Linked DNA regions of Mytilus edulis. The main gene of each other region encodes a partner of the protein of the gene in region 2 in a complex. Links are inferred from orthologs where the notes say so. Each region holds a gene or a part of one and is shown on either strand. Other genes may lie near its edges.

What was found.
Region 1: DNA-directed RNA polymerase III subunit RPC2-like (region 2) and DNA-directed RNA polymerase III subunit RPC6-like share a complex: the UniProt entries of both Drosophila melanogaster proteins name them as parts of the RNA polymerase III (Pol III) complex. The link is inferred for Mytilus edulis from reciprocal best matches to the Drosophila melanogaster genes Polr3B and Polr3F.

What each region holds. Positions count from the first base shown.
Region 1 is NC_092346.1:17,924,188-17,931,849, reverse strand, and holds the start of DNA-directed RNA polymerase III subunit RPC6-like, read right to left. Parts: upstream 3,008-7,662; 5' UTR 2,921-3,007; coding exon 2,862-2,920; intron 1-2,861. Other genes in the region: histone acetyltransferase KAT5-like, read left to right, coding at 3,185-3,223, 3,326-3,383, 5,690-5,758, 6,389-6,552. UniProt on the Drosophila melanogaster protein: DNA-dependent RNA polymerase catalyzes the transcription of DNA into RNA using the four ribonucleoside triphosphates as substrates. Specific peripheric component of RNA polymerase III which synthesizes small RNAs, such as 5S rRNA and tRNAs.
Region 2 is NC_092353.1:3,000,163-3,008,184, forward strand, and holds the start of DNA-directed RNA polymerase III subunit RPC2-like, read left to right. Parts: upstream 1-4,761; 5' UTR 4,762-4,843; coding exon 4,844-4,894; intron 4,895-8,022. UniProt on the Drosophila melanogaster protein: DNA-dependent RNA polymerase catalyzes the transcription of DNA into RNA using the four ribonucleoside triphosphates as substrates. Second largest core component of RNA polymerase III which synthesizes small RNAs, such as 5S rRNA and tRNAs.

The DNA.
Region 1 (7,662 bases), on a different chromosome or scaffold from region 2:
TTTAAAGAAAGTATGAAAAAAAGTTTAATTTTGGAACTGTGATTTTTTTCACGATAATAGCCCAAAAATAGATAAAAAACAATGAAAAATGGGAAAATCATCAAAATAAGGCATTTTCAAAGGGCCGTAGCAAAAAAAGAAGTGCACCATCATATGATTTTTTCTTCACCAATTATTTTGTTAGTCATATAAACCCAAAGATCAGGTTAAGAAAAAAAGTTTAATTCTAGACATTTTTTACTCCTTAGACAATGTCAGAGGTGTACATCCTTAACTGTAATTTTTGGTGAAAATTTTGTATGATGATAAAATGTACACTTAACTTTAAGATGATAAAGACTAATTTTGACGAAATTGTAACGGTTTATTTCTTCCTCCGTGATATTTTATCCTGAGGATAATTTGACCCGGTCAATTTTTTCCAGACATGGAATTTCACAGGTTTGATTTTTCCTTAGGAGTGAAAATATATCTGTGTTATGCGGATAGTATGAACCGGTAAATATTTTCCGTTCTATATTTCACAGAACCTTGTGAAATAGAATCCCGCTGACTACTATGTAAGTTACTCGCAATCAATATATACCTGACAATAATTACAAATATATCACAAAGGTAAACAAAATTTGCATATTTCATCAATCAAAGGGAGGTAATTTTGACCAATTTAAATGGTTTTTATAAATTATATTGTGGAAACCCTTTTTTAACAATGCAGACTTTTTGTAAATGACATATATTTTAGGTAGGCAAATCCAGTGTCGGATCATGGGAGGATTCTGGGGGTTGAAACCCAGGGTATTTTTGGACGATTAATGCATAGTTTAATATATTAGATAATTCCCGCGGCACGCAGTAAAGCGTGAATTTATTGTCTTCTCGGTAAGGTATTTCCGAGGCGTAGGAATTTTTGGCGCCAAAAATTGTAGTGGTAAATAGATAGTTATATGAGTATCATTTCTAGCCTTGCGTTCGTACTGTGTACATCAAATTTTTTCATATAAGCATAAAGAATGCTCAATTTGACAATTGTTAATTGTTAATGGTCTGTTATATATAGTTTATATATATATGGTATGGCTATATAGACGTAATCGGATTTGGATTGTATGTTGTCTTATAAATTTTTTATAGCCGTAGTCTTCGGACTAAAACTCCCTTTTATTAAGTTAGATTGAGCATTTTTTGGTACATGAACATTTATGTTATATGAGTGCGGTCCAACACTTAGTTTCGCTTGGCATTGACAAAAGGACGCAGGTTTCCAAAAGGTTTTTCCTGATCGGCCACGAAACAGTACTTTGTGTGTTTTGAATATTGATAATTTGGAAGATGATGGCAAATAGTATTTTGTATATATGTTATGTTGTTATAATATTGCTGTATTGTAATAAAGCGGCAGCTCAGAAAAGATATACGCAGCGAGCTAGTCAACAAAATATACGCAGCGAGCTAGTCAACAAACTTAAGTTTGTAGTTGAGTTATTTTTCTTAGATGCTAAGGTACATGAGTATAGAGAAGACCATCGTATTCTGATCCTTCCATTGCTACTCACTGTTTACAGTAGTAATGACCTTTAATTTTATATTAGTCCTGAAATCTGAAAACAACTCACTTTTACCTGAATTTCACTTATCTTATTTTATGTATATTAAATTAATCATGATGATATTTCACAATAAAGATCTTTAAAATTACTTCTGGTTTTCTTTCATATGTTTCATGATAATTATCTTTTTCATAAGAAATATTTTTACGTCTTGAATATTTCAGGATATTATTTTCAATGATAATCTGTGAAATATTTTCGCTTTAAAATTCACATTTTTTTATCCAATTTAGCATTATATTCAAATATACTTTTGTTATATCACAGTATTTGTCAATAATTAAGTTTTTTAATAACTATTCATTTTTTTAACTACCCGGATATAATTTCACGGCAAAGGAAAAAATTTCCCAGGGAAATATTTTCCTCCGGATAAAAAAACAACAACAACTACTGTGACATTTTTTCCTCGGGATCAAATTTCACCCGGATATAATTTTGCTTTACAAAATCACGTTAATTTTTTTACAAAAATGAAGGTAACAATAATTATTTGAAACCTCTGACGAATCACACTGAATCACAATAAGGGTATTTTGACAAACGGCGGTAAAAATCTAAACACAATTTGATGCTAACTGTATCCAAAAATTACTGTTTGAAGTGTGACGGGATTGCTTCCCTTAGAAAACTTAGTAGATACTTAGTCAGCCGTAAGCAGTTGAGCTAGGGAAGTACTTCTTGAGCTCAGTCGGTTAACACGCTGGCTAGTAACACAGAGGTCCAGGGTTTGAGTCCTGGTGGAGACAAGCAATTTTGTAATGAAATTCATGCTCTCCTGTTACATTGGCGCCCAACAATAAAAACCCACGGTTAGAAGAAATACCTAGTCAGGTAAAAAATAAATATAAAAAAGATGAAGATATCATCATTATAGAGTATAATGACTCTTGAGGTGTGGGAAGTGTGACGGGATTGCTTCCCTTAGAAAACTTAGTAGATACTTAGTCAGCCGTAAGTGGTTGAGCTAGGGAACTACTTCTTTAGCTCAGTCGGTTAACACGATGGCTAGTAACACGTCCTGGGTTTGAATCCAGGTGGAGACGAGCAATTTTGTAATAAAATTTATGCTCTAGGGTTACAGAAGCCTGACGTTAAAGGGCATTACTACCCTCATGGCTATACTATGATCTATGTAAGGATTTGTAAAGTAAGATCTGACTATACAAATCCTTGGTCTATGCAACTTTCAACTTTAATGCAAGCTTATAAAAACTGATTTCATTTTAAAGATTTTAGGCAAAATTTAACCTGTTTTCAAAATCCAAAGTTTCAGCCGGTTCTTCCTTCACACCCACAGCTGAAGCCATAACTTGGTCTTTTATTTATGTACGAAAATCAAAAATAATAAGTCGAAAGGCATGTGGACAAAGTGAAAGTACAAACAGGAAGTTGTGTGTAATTCTAGACTCGCACGCAATAATTCTAACTTAAACTTGTTTTAACTTTTAATAAAATGAAAATTTGTCAATAAAAACAATCGAATGAAGGTATAAATATTTATTTCATTATTACAATTATTACTTTTATTTTTTTTAAAGGAAGCCATGCGTAAAAATTGTTTTGTGCATTCAATGCAGAGCTACAATATGACCGTGATGACGGAAGTGCAGGTCCCTTATATTTTTTCAATTTTGAAGCCTTTAACCCTTATTTTGACCTATTTTGTCATGTCAAGTTATATCTTTGAAATTATTTTTATTTATATTTTTCAGACTGAAATAGTAGAAGGGTGTAGAGTGCCAGTTTTATTGAAGAATGGCGATGGATGGCGTAAGTTATGCTAAGGGAGACAATCAAATCATGTAAACACACAATGGGGTCATAATATGGAACATTCAAATGTGTGCAAATATTTAATGCATTACAGTTATTAAAATATTTATGCTTTGTCTGTTTAAAAAATATAGTTTTGAAACCAGATCCTTCCGTAATGACATGGAAATGATTCTGATTTATGTGACCATTTTTTTCTCAGATTATCCATCATTCTAGTAAAGCTGTATACACCTCATTGCTAATCCAGGCTGACCCGAGAATCTGTCCAGCTTTAACTATTGACGTTATATAACAATCACTTTTCCATTGTGGTATCAGATATTTTGTATTAAGACATCAAAAGAATATGAGGCAGGCATTACCTGTGAAACGGACGAAATCTGTATGCATATTTTTTTTTGTCGTAACGTTTCAGATTTTGGTTCTGATGTTTTTTATGTTATGACGTCATATTCAATGTTAAAAAAGAAACAAAGAAACGCTATCATCAAATTCACCTGACAACTAGACCGGTAAAGAAAGTAGATTTCTGAGCAAATGCAGGAATTTAAAAAAGTCTGAAAATAATTTTGAGCTCATTAGTAGAATGAAAATTTTGGTAAATTTCCTGATTTTTTAAAATTTTGATTTAATTTATTTTATCACATATTACTGGAACCTGTGTGATGTCCAGGATTGAGGAATGGCAGACAAATAGCGATAAGGTGTATAGCAGGGTCTGTATGGGTCCTTGAATCCTGGAAAAGTCATGGATTTTTATTTTTTGGGGGAAAAGGCCTTTAAAAGTCATGGAAAGCTATATTTTAGTGAACAGTCGTGGAAAGTTATTATTGTTTGAACTGTAAACTTTATTAGGTGTCTATAAATATTTTTCATAGTTTTTGTCAAAACTGTTTCCTCAATAGAGCTACAAACAATGTCCCAGTTTGATAGCCAGTCTTGGTAAATGTAAAATGAGGATTTCAAAATTCGCTTCTTCATAATTTTTGGTAAAACTACATGTATATGACTGAAACTGGTTCCCTGTATGTCAAAAATTGTTGCAGTTTGCTTCATTCAATAACATTATCAGTATAAGATACCAGTTGTCGAATATTTTTAAAAATGTCTAGTCAATGATCAGTTGATTCAAGAGAAAAATGCCTGGTTACTGCCATTTTCAGTTTAAATGGTTGGAAAACCCAGAGAGGCAAAGTACAAACAATGGCTGGTGTAAAAAAACAACGGAGAATCTGCATTGAAAAGCCACTGTAAGAGCTCAAAACACATCCAACACTCAACTTAACTGAAAAGTTTCAACATTTTACTACATTATTCAATTGATTCAAATATTTCAAAACTTGAATAAACACTTATACTGATGTGTAGTTCATCCTCTTTCAAAGAATTTATATATTACCCTTTGGTTTCCTGTTTTTTTGGGTATGGAATTTTCATAAAACATCCTTGAAAAGTCATGGAAAAGTCATGGAAAAATGGAACAGAAGAGGCGTATGAACCCTGGTATAGATGATATGATGACTTGCCCTAATTATAGCTGATTTTATGATGACAAGTTATTTTTGTGAAAATCAATAAAATATCGTTCAAACTAAGTCACTTCAAATTTGTTATAATCACATTGATTTCATCACAGAAGGGTACAGAATGCAAATGAGGTATTAATACAAATATAATATAATACAAAAATGGTGCTGATACAATCCCAGTATTTGCTTATTTCACTAACCATTATTAAACACTTCAAATTAAATAAATCACTCTTATATTGGTAATTTTTTAGGACAACTTATATAATTGCTTCACGATAATGACGTCACATATTTCATTGAAAAAGTATGCATAGTACGAATTTATATTATGTCCTACGAAAACATGATCTGACTTTAATGCCCCATGACAATTTTATTTACATCTGCATGTATATTTGTGCACCATTTCTAAAAACCATAAAAAATTCTGCAAAAATTTGACTTCCTAAAAAAAACAATTGAAATTGTTGCAAGACATCAGAAAATTATTTAAAGATAGATATAGGGTCATTCGTGGAAAATTCAGCTGAACACTAAAAAGGGTCATTAGGTCTATATGTAACCATTTTGAGCTCTGTTTGTTATGTTCACCTTATAGGAAATTGAAAAATGAGTTTTCTAATATCTATCCTTAAATAATTTTTTCCTTCATGTAGAATCCTATTGTTTATTTTGGCTTTATTTGTCCATAAGGGAGAAATCTAACAGTAGTATAAAAACATTTTGGTGTTGCATTGAACTTTATAAAGATTTTTACATATTTTATAGACTTTGCTGAGATACTTGGAAAGAAAGAAGTCAATGGAAAGCACATGTTCTATATTCATTATGAAGATTGTAAGTATATTTGCAGTACACGGAAGGTTATTCAATTAAAAGTCAGTCTTGATGGTGATCATGAGTGATTCACTTTGGCATATGTTTGTACATGTGCTACATATGACATGGTCGTAAATTTGAGTACATAACTGAACACCAGCAACAACAGAACAATGAGGTTTTACTACTGTAAAAGTAGAAATTTTCGTTAAGGATTTAATTCGTTTATTTCTTGAAATAATATATCAGCGAAATTAAAAACCCCGCAAAATTTAAACTTCATATAATATAACACTTCCATTTAATGGAAACCATGAAATTTTGACCCCACGAAAATGAATGTTTCTACAGTAATTACCTTTTGGGAATTGTCTTTTCTTATCGTATCTAACTGTCTCAGTTGCATTGTCATAGTGTCCCTTGACTGAAGGAGGTTGTTATTATTTGATACCTATATGATAATCTAATATTAAAGTGACAACATAATTTACAAGTTCAAAACAAACTGCAGAACCTAAATTTTGTTTGTATTAATTAGTTGGTTGAAATTACAATCGGTCTATTTTCCTTGCCTCTATTGTGTATTTAATAAACGAATTATTGTTAAAACAGTTATATGACGATCCTCTATTCTTTGTTTATTTTTAGTCAACAAACGTTTGGACGAATGGGTTCCCGAGGAAAGGATGGACATGAACAAGTTAGAACCACCAAGGAAAGACCAGAAAACTCCCAAGAAAGAAGCTGCCAGTAAATTAGGATCTGGTCCAGGATCAAGACCTTCCAGTCCAGAAAGGGAAATAGTTATAGTTGTAAGAATTTTTGAGGGCATGATAAATTGTAGGCTTTGTCAGCTTATATTTTATATATAAAAAGATTCATATTCTGTAGACATATGAAAAAAATAGTTTCCTTCTATTGAATGTAATTGTTAAGCCAAATGGAATTTCAAAATTTTAGTTAATTCATTATACATATTTTTGCTTTTTAAGGAAAATAGGAAGAATGCCATTTGTAATGGGGAGTCACCACACCAAATATTTAACTGTTGCTTTTATGCCCTACCTAGGGGCGTTACATTTTGGGGTTGATGTGTCCATCTGTCCCGCTTCAGGTTAAAGTTGTTGGTTTAGAAATTTCCTGTTTCATACACATTTCTCTGTAGTAATTTATGATTTCCTTGTGAATCTTGTATAAATTTACGTCATACCAATGTGTGCGTTGTATAGAAATAATATGGAAACACTTTCTAAATAGACAATACAGATACTGACCCAATTTTTCATCCATTATCTTGAGATGACCGTGATCGTATTACAGTCATCAGCTTTACTCCAGTGAATGTGTATCCGAGGATAAAAATATTAGAATTTAAAAGGTCGTGGTTACTCAATCAAATTTGTTTCTTCACATTTAAAATAAGGTTTTACGAAGAAAAAAAATGTGGTTATCAAATTGGTGTTAGGACACGAGGCTGCCAACAGTTTCTATGCAAAAACTTTCAAATCATTTGATATTGACACTTTACCCTTTTATAGTTCAGGAGTAATGGTCCTTGATAGATTGGAAAATGACAATTTATGTTGGTTCTGTGCAATAACTTAAGAACTGTTCAACCAGTGCTTTTCAAAATTTTGAAAATTTTTTGTTAGTGATTACAAAATGGAGGTCAGGTTCAACATTAATGCATTTCACTTTTATCACTCAGGAGTTATTGTCGTTGATAGATTTTTAAATTTCACTTTTATGTCGTTTCTGTGTAATAATCTATGAAATGTTTGATCATTGCAAATTTTTATACATGTATGACAGTGTTCTAGGATTCCCATTACCCGTTACCCGGGGTAAGTGGATTAGGACAACGGGTAAGTCATTTTTTAGCCTTTGTCACCCGGTGGTAAGTCAATTTTCAAGTTCGGGGA
Region 2 (8,022 bases):
AAGAATACTTTTGATATCTAGAACAAGTGTGAATCCCTTCCTGATCGTCTTTTTATCTACATAGGGGGTATTCTAGGGCTTTAAATTCTATTTTGTACAGGTTACAGTGTTGTCAATAAAGTAAACAAATGAACGATATATGTAAAACTATTTTACAGAGTACGACGTAAACTTGTAACGAAGGTTTTCATTGTTAAGTTGATGTGTTAACCCTGTCGGAACCTCTAATGTCTGATATGGATTTTTCAAAATATTAGGATAAGATAATTTCAAGTCCAATTTTTATCAAATGATAACCATAGTTGGGCATATAAATAAATCAAACGAAGAATGTACGTACACTATGATCGTATGTAATCGCTGATCAAAATTGGACAGTAATGTTGGATAGGTATTAAATGACTCCGCAAAATGTCGTCCTTATGTCGAACTGTTGTTACATCACTGTCCGAGGTTACAGGATTAGAGATGGCATCAGCAAAAAACTACACCACACTCTGTATGTGACTGTCTAGAGTCAGGAGTCTGTTATTCAGTGGTTTTCATTTGTTACTTGTTATGCCCCACCTACGATAGTAGAGGGGCATTATGTTTTCTGGTCTGTGCCTCCGTCCGTCTATGCGTCCGTTCGTCCGTTCGCTTCAGGTTAAAGTTTTTTTTCTTCAAATTCGAGTTTTGACCCCAATTTCACGGTCTACTGAACATAGAAAATGATAATGCGAGTGGGGCATCCGTGTACTATGGACACATTCTTGTTTTGTACATAAATCAGACCGGCGTTAGTTTTCTCGTTTGAATTGTTTTACATTTGTCATTTCGGCACCTTTTATAGCTCACTTTTTTCAATTCAAAAGCTTTATTTATAGTCGGCATGTTACATAACAAATAAACATAAGCTCTCTGAGCTTTTATGACCGACAATGATAATTTGCAGTGGCGGATCCGGGGGTTTCGGGGGTAAGAACCCCTTTTTTGGACGATCAATGCATTTGAATTGGTGTATGTAGTTGGACCCCCCCCTTTTTTTTTGCCCTTTTGTCCTGGGTTAGAAACCCCCTTTTTAAAATGGCTGGATCCGCCCCTGCTTTGCGATACGGAATTATTTTATTGTTGACGTATAATTGTTAACATCCACGTTATTGGGTCTATGGTATGAAGTTTCTTCTTGACAATCATCACCACATCTTTTTATTTTTTTTATTGGAAAATGATATAAAGAAAATATATTCAAGTTGAAATAATAATTATAGTGTCCATATACTATATGTCACAGTTATGTCAAACAAACAAGGCAAACAAATGCTGTTATTGGAGAATTTAAGCTGGATAAACAACAGATCGAAAAAGAATGGAAGACCACTACACAGGTAAATAATTTCTTGTTTAATAAGTCAAAAAATCACTATTCTAAGAATTTAGATATTTTTTTAGGCCATTTTTTTATGATCTTGAACAAAAACTTCCTTTATACCAGGATCACCGTATGACACAACAAATTGTTAAAAATTCATTTTATGGAATTAGACTTAAAAATGACATCCCAACAAAATGACTCTTCAATCACGTATTATTAGCTCGCATATTTCACTTTCATATTCGAATTAACGTATAAATCTTCCAATGCATGCATTCTATTAAAATTTAAAATACCAAATACTTTTGCTTTTACATATGCCCGCGTCACACTGTCCCGATTTTTACGCCGATGACAACACGATTATGGAAATTTTCAAAATCGGGACTGATCGTATCCAGATCGGGCTATTCGTAGTGCCATCTTTAACCATCGTAGAACCATCGGCCACTTTTTTTTAGCCTTCGGGGACAACTTCGGGAAGGGTTCTAAATTTTTTAACATGTTAAAAAATCCCCTAAGGTGCGTCCGATGTTGAGGGTTCGTATTGAGTTCGTATCACCATCCTCACCATCGTAATGTCACCGGGAATGCATCTTTGAACATCGTATTGCATTCGTGTTTCCATCGTTTCCATCGGGCAGTTTTGACATTACGATGTCTACACGAATGAATCACGAAGCTACCCGAAGGTCTTACGATGGCAACACGACTTCGTGAAGACCTCGTAATCCCGTCGTGTTGCCATCGAATAAAAGTACGAAGGCGACAAGATGGAACTACGACGGCAATAAATCCAGCTAAATGTAAGTTAATTTTTGCGCTAAAATACATTTAAAGTGCCATGCGCGATATGCACTGGTCAGTCTAATACGACAGTTAAGGAAGACGTTCACAAAACATGGAGCTCATATCATATGATACTATGAGAACAAGAAAGTCGACAGCGGCGTTGTTTCTATTAATTCAAACGGAACAAGAAGAGCAACTGTTACAGGCTCAGGATTTACAAGTAAAATATTATTTTTTGTCAATTTTTCATATCAAGTAACATAATGAAAATCATAAATGCGCCTCGTACACCAACACTGCAGGTACACGTATATAGGGAAACCAACTTTTTCTTCATTATTCTGATTTTTTATGTATCGACTGAGTTGTTGTCACAAGAATGTTTACTCCATAACCATTATGTTTCTATATGTCACATTTTGCCGCATTTGTTGCTTTCCCCACATCCTCCCTTTTGTCTATATTATTATGATATTCTCCTGGAAAGAGCTATTTTTGAATAAAAGGGATCAACGAACCCATTACCTTACCTTTAAGATAGATCAGTAAACATGGGCATAATTATGGGTGATTATTCAGACTAGTGCACACATTTTACAGTTCAAACAAGGCAATGCCGAGCGTGGCATCCCCTCGTATGTAACATATTGGGGACAAATATGGACACTATATTTGTATATGACACATACAGAAAATGGTAAATTGAATATGCATATTTATATATTCAATATTGATCAAACAATTTAAAACGCGTGATGCCGTAAATGCATTGTAAGCTGTACACGACGTCTTTTAGACATCGTATGGCCATCGCGCCATCATCGTAATCCATCGTGTAGCCTTCGTAATCCATCGTGTAGCCTTCGTGATCCATCGTGTAGGCTTCGGCTGAGATATGAAGCTTAAATACCCGTCTTCGGTTAACCTTCGTATGTCCATCTTTTGCTATCGTATATAATTTCGGCACCATCGTACAGACTTCGTTATTCATCGTACTTGCTTCAGTCACTTTTTGGTATTTTAACGAGATCGGGACCAACTTCGTACGAACTTACAATTTTCGCATTCGTGTGTCCATCGTATATAAAAATCGGGACAGTGTGACGCGGGCAATAGTGATATATCGATTTATCGGTAATTGGTCCTAACGGGCTCGTCTAGATATTCCACATGATATAGTCAGTATCAAAAACGAAACTACCTATTATTCTATTTGTAATACATAGTGAGATTCAGCATATCAAAGTACCCAAAGAGTTCATTATATTTTTTATGAAATCTAACCGAGTTTCATTTTCACCCATTTGAGCTCAGTGTCTACCAGTTTGATAACAGGGCCCAAATTCCAAAATCAATAGACACGGTTAGAGTCAGCTCTAAGGAATTAATTTTTTTGTTAGAATCAAACAAAGTTTTATTTTCAGACCCTTTGGAACCCTTTGGACCATTTGGGCCTTAATGTGGACCAATTTGAAAGCAGGTCCAATATTCAAAAGTCTAAATATACGGTTAGATAAGGCATATATATCAAAGATACACAATAATTCAAAATTCAAATGAGCCTCAGTTATTTAACAACGGGGCTCAAATTTCGAAATCTTTACACATAATTAGATTCAGCATATTAAAGATCTTTGAGAATTCAAAACCTTCAACTAGACCCCGAAGGACCAAGTGAGCTTTTCTCATCACTTTGCGTCCGTCGTCCGTCGTCGTTAACTTCTACAAAAATCTTCTCCTCTGAAACTACTAAGCCAGATTTAACCAAACTTAGCCACAATCATCATTGGGGTTTCTAGTTTAAAAAAATGTGTCCGGTGACCCGGCAAACCAATCAAGATGGCCGCCATGGCTAAAAATAGAACATATGGGGTAAAATGCAGTTTTTGGCTAATATCTCAAAAACCAAAGCATTTAGGGCAAATCTGACACAGGTAAATTTGTTTATCAGGTCAGGATCTATCTGCCCTGAAATTTTCAGATGAATCGGACAACCCGTTGCCCCTGGTTGGTGATTTAAAGGAAGTTTTGACGTTTTTGGTTATTATATCTTGAATATTATTATAGATAGAGATAAACTGTAAACAGCAAAAATGTACAGCAAAGAAAGACCTCAAAACAAGTCAAATATGACCAAAATGGTCAATTGACCCCCTAAGTAGTTATTCAGCCTTTATAGCCAATTTTTAACAATTTTCCGTTAAAATTTGTAAATTGTTACTAACATTTTCCACTGTTACTACAGGGCCAAGTTCATTATAGATACAGATAATTGTAAGCAGCAATAATGTTCAGTAAAGTAAGATCTATAAACACATCAACATCACCAAAACACAATTTTGTCATGAATCCATCTGTGTCCCTTGTTCAATATTCACATAGACCAAGGTGAGCGACACAGGCTCTTTAGAGCATCTACTGTAGTTTTATAAATGGTGCAAGTTAGCCTACCTTTATTAAGCAGAACTTTACTCACATTCATTACTTAACCGATATATCCGTCTTTCATTCACGGAGAATTTTATAGCGGGATTTAAGTCTTTTACATTAGTGGGACAGTTGATATTAAGCGAGTGAACTTTTGGGACGATATTGCAGTAGGACGAGTGTGGGTCATTCGTTAGGGAGATCAAAAAAAGATGTCTGCGCCCATGACGAAATGTAAAATATGAGAAAATAAACTTATTTATTAAAGATATGTCGTCCTCTGACAAAACAGATCTTTCAGCACCTATCAAAAGTGTTGAGGTAAGTTTTAGAACATGCGTAGTCTAGATATATTGATAATAGTTTTAAAAGCTATAGCTAAGACAGCAGCCGGCCTCTAACAGTCTAAATTATTAAAACACCGCTAGAAGTAAAAGGAGGACATTTGACCACAATTTGGCTCAAAGGAGTCTAATAAGAACTCAAAGGGTAAGGGACAAGACATCCATTTCATCCGAAAAATCAATTTGGTAAAATAAACGAAAACTCATGAGACAATGTAAAGCCAGTTCAGTACACAGATATTTGGGGCATGCACCCCCCTTTTCTTTTTCACTAAAAAAAGTTATCTACACTGTATCGACATATATAAAGTCTCAACAATCCATTACTAGTCGATTACAATACCTATTTTTACTATCCATACGAGCCCAAAGTGAAAAAAAAGGGGGATCCATGTGTGACAAAATATTTGTTCAGGCGTGTCAGACATTTGTTCCATCCGAAACAAATTTCATAGGAAATATGTTCCACCAGTATTTATATCACAGAAGCACTGTGAAACTTGTTCTGGAACTAATTTTTTTATCAAATGTGAAATAAGTCATTTGTTGTTTACAAGTTCCAGAACAAAAATCACAGCTCTATGAATTTTGTTCCAATAATATGAGGCAGGCATAACCTGTGAATGGGGAAGAAGTCTGTATGTATTAATTTTTTGAATTCAATCCCGTTGATAAAAGAAACCGAAATACCGTACGTAGACGTTCCCGATTTTGATTCTGTTGTTAGGGAATTAGCTGTGACGTTCTTTAAGTTATGACGTCATATTCGATGTAAACAAAAGAAATGGTTCATCAGGTAACGTTTTTTCATATCAAACAATTATTAAAATTGAATTTGTATTGAGATCCAATCTTATATTTTACTAGACTGATAAATATAAATTTTTTCAAAGTCTCATGCAAACAAGACAGATATCTGTGCAAAAGCGGAGAAAACTTGAACAGGAAGTAGATCTGACAAAAAAAAGTTAACGATTTTGAGTTCATTAGTAGAATGAAAAATTCGGGAAATTTTCCCGATTTTTTTTTTTTTTTATTGATTTTTCTACCGTAATTGGGGACTTCGTCCCCATAATATGAGGCAGGCATAACCTGTGAATGTGGACAAAGTCTGTATGTATTATTTTCTTACCTCAAACATGTTAATAAAGGAAACGGAAATACCGTAACGTTCCCGATTTCGGTTCTGTGGTTAGGGATTTAGCTGTGACGTTGTTTAAATTATGACGTCATATTCAATGTAAACAAAAGAAACGCTTCCATCAGGTAACGTTTTTTTCAAATCAAACAATTATTTAAAATGAAATTGTATTGAGTTCCAATCTTATATTTTACTAGACTGATACATGAGCCAGTCCATGCGAAAAGGTACAAAAAGTCCTTTTGGTAAACTTTACAGGACACGTTATCAAAGTTTGTTATAGTATTTTTGAAAAACGATTTTATCCGAAAAAAAATTACATTAATGTAAACATTCATAAGATTGTCAATTCTATCCCGAATTTGTCAACTAAAACCGAAAAAGACGTAGAAATATCTGAATTTTTGGTATTTGAGCAAGTGTAAAATCATTTGTTCCCCGGACTAATGCTATACCGACCAGAAACTACAAAAAATTATGACACTTCAGAGACAAAAGTCAATAATTTCCGTCAGTTCTACAGGTTTAAAGAAAGAAAGACAACATTAAAACATGAGGGAAAATGCAAAAACTATGACATCTTGTGTTTTAGAAATTGAAATTTAAGTTAAGTTAAGTTATTTAATATTATATAAATCAACCTTAGTTGCACGGGATTCGAACCGTTGCCCGGTTTGATTGCATTGTTATCCGCATCGTAAGCGAGAGCCTTATCCCCACTGCTACCAGGTTTAACATTATCAATTGGCAAATCAAGCCATTTAAACTGTACTTTGAAAATGATTGAAATATATGAAATAATTCACTAAAAATCTTGATAAAACTAGGGGGGGGGGGGTCTCAACACTCGCAGGTGCGTGTAGCTCACAGCTTGATGATATGAGGGAAAGTAAATGTGTTTTATAAATCACAAGTCTACTACCAATAATTATGCACACTTTTTAGAATTTCGTAAATTTTTCGTTTTTGTACCTGTTCACATGGACTGGCTCACATATAATTTTCTTTTCAAAGTCTCATGCAAACAAGACAGATTTCTGCGCAAATGCGGGGAAAACCGGAACAGGGACTAGATCTGAAATAAAAAGTTAACGATTTTGAGTTCATTAGTAGAATGAAAAATTCGGGAAATTTTCCCGATTTTTTTTCATTTTTTTTTTTTATTGATTTTTCTACCGTAATTGGGGACTTCGTAAAAATAAGAAAAAAGAGGGAAATAAGTCCCTGTGATATTAGTTTTGAATGAAGATATTTCATAGAAATAAATAAATAAGTCCTGCTCAAACCTTTTTCACAGAAAATAAATACCTTTCAGCAGTCTGCACGGTTAGCCACTAGTCCGATGCCCCAGACTAGTAAAATTTCATTTGGACTAGTGAGTTTTTGCAAAACTTTGTTTGGCCAAATAAGAAAAATGTCAGAATATTGGTCTTCGGACTAGTAGTTGAAAAAGTTTTTGGTGCAGACTGCCTTTGCAACAGTGAAATATTTTCTTGTAACACTTAAAACGTTATAATGCAAAATGGATGCTGTACTGTGCTTGCATTGAGTACATTTGCAATTGAAGGAATGATTTGACTGTAGGATGAGAAATAAAAGCGATGGCAGTGTATCATAATTTGTATAAATTTATGTTTATGTTGTATTCAACCTCTGTCACATGTCTGAGTTTCCTAGCTGTATACTTTTTTTCAGAATGATTTTTCTCATTCTACTCTTTTTTAGCTTATTAGTGACATTTTGGGTATTTTTATTCTAAAAATATTTGCTTTACTCCACAGGATCGAAATTGAATAACTTGTTTTCACTTTTTATTTTAATATTACATCATCAAATTGACAATATAATACATGGTTTTATAATGCACTTGAATGATAACTTTAAACCACTGATGACAAGTGCTCAGTATATAAGATAACTTGTTTAACCAGTGGAACATATTTCACAAACAAGGAACTAATATC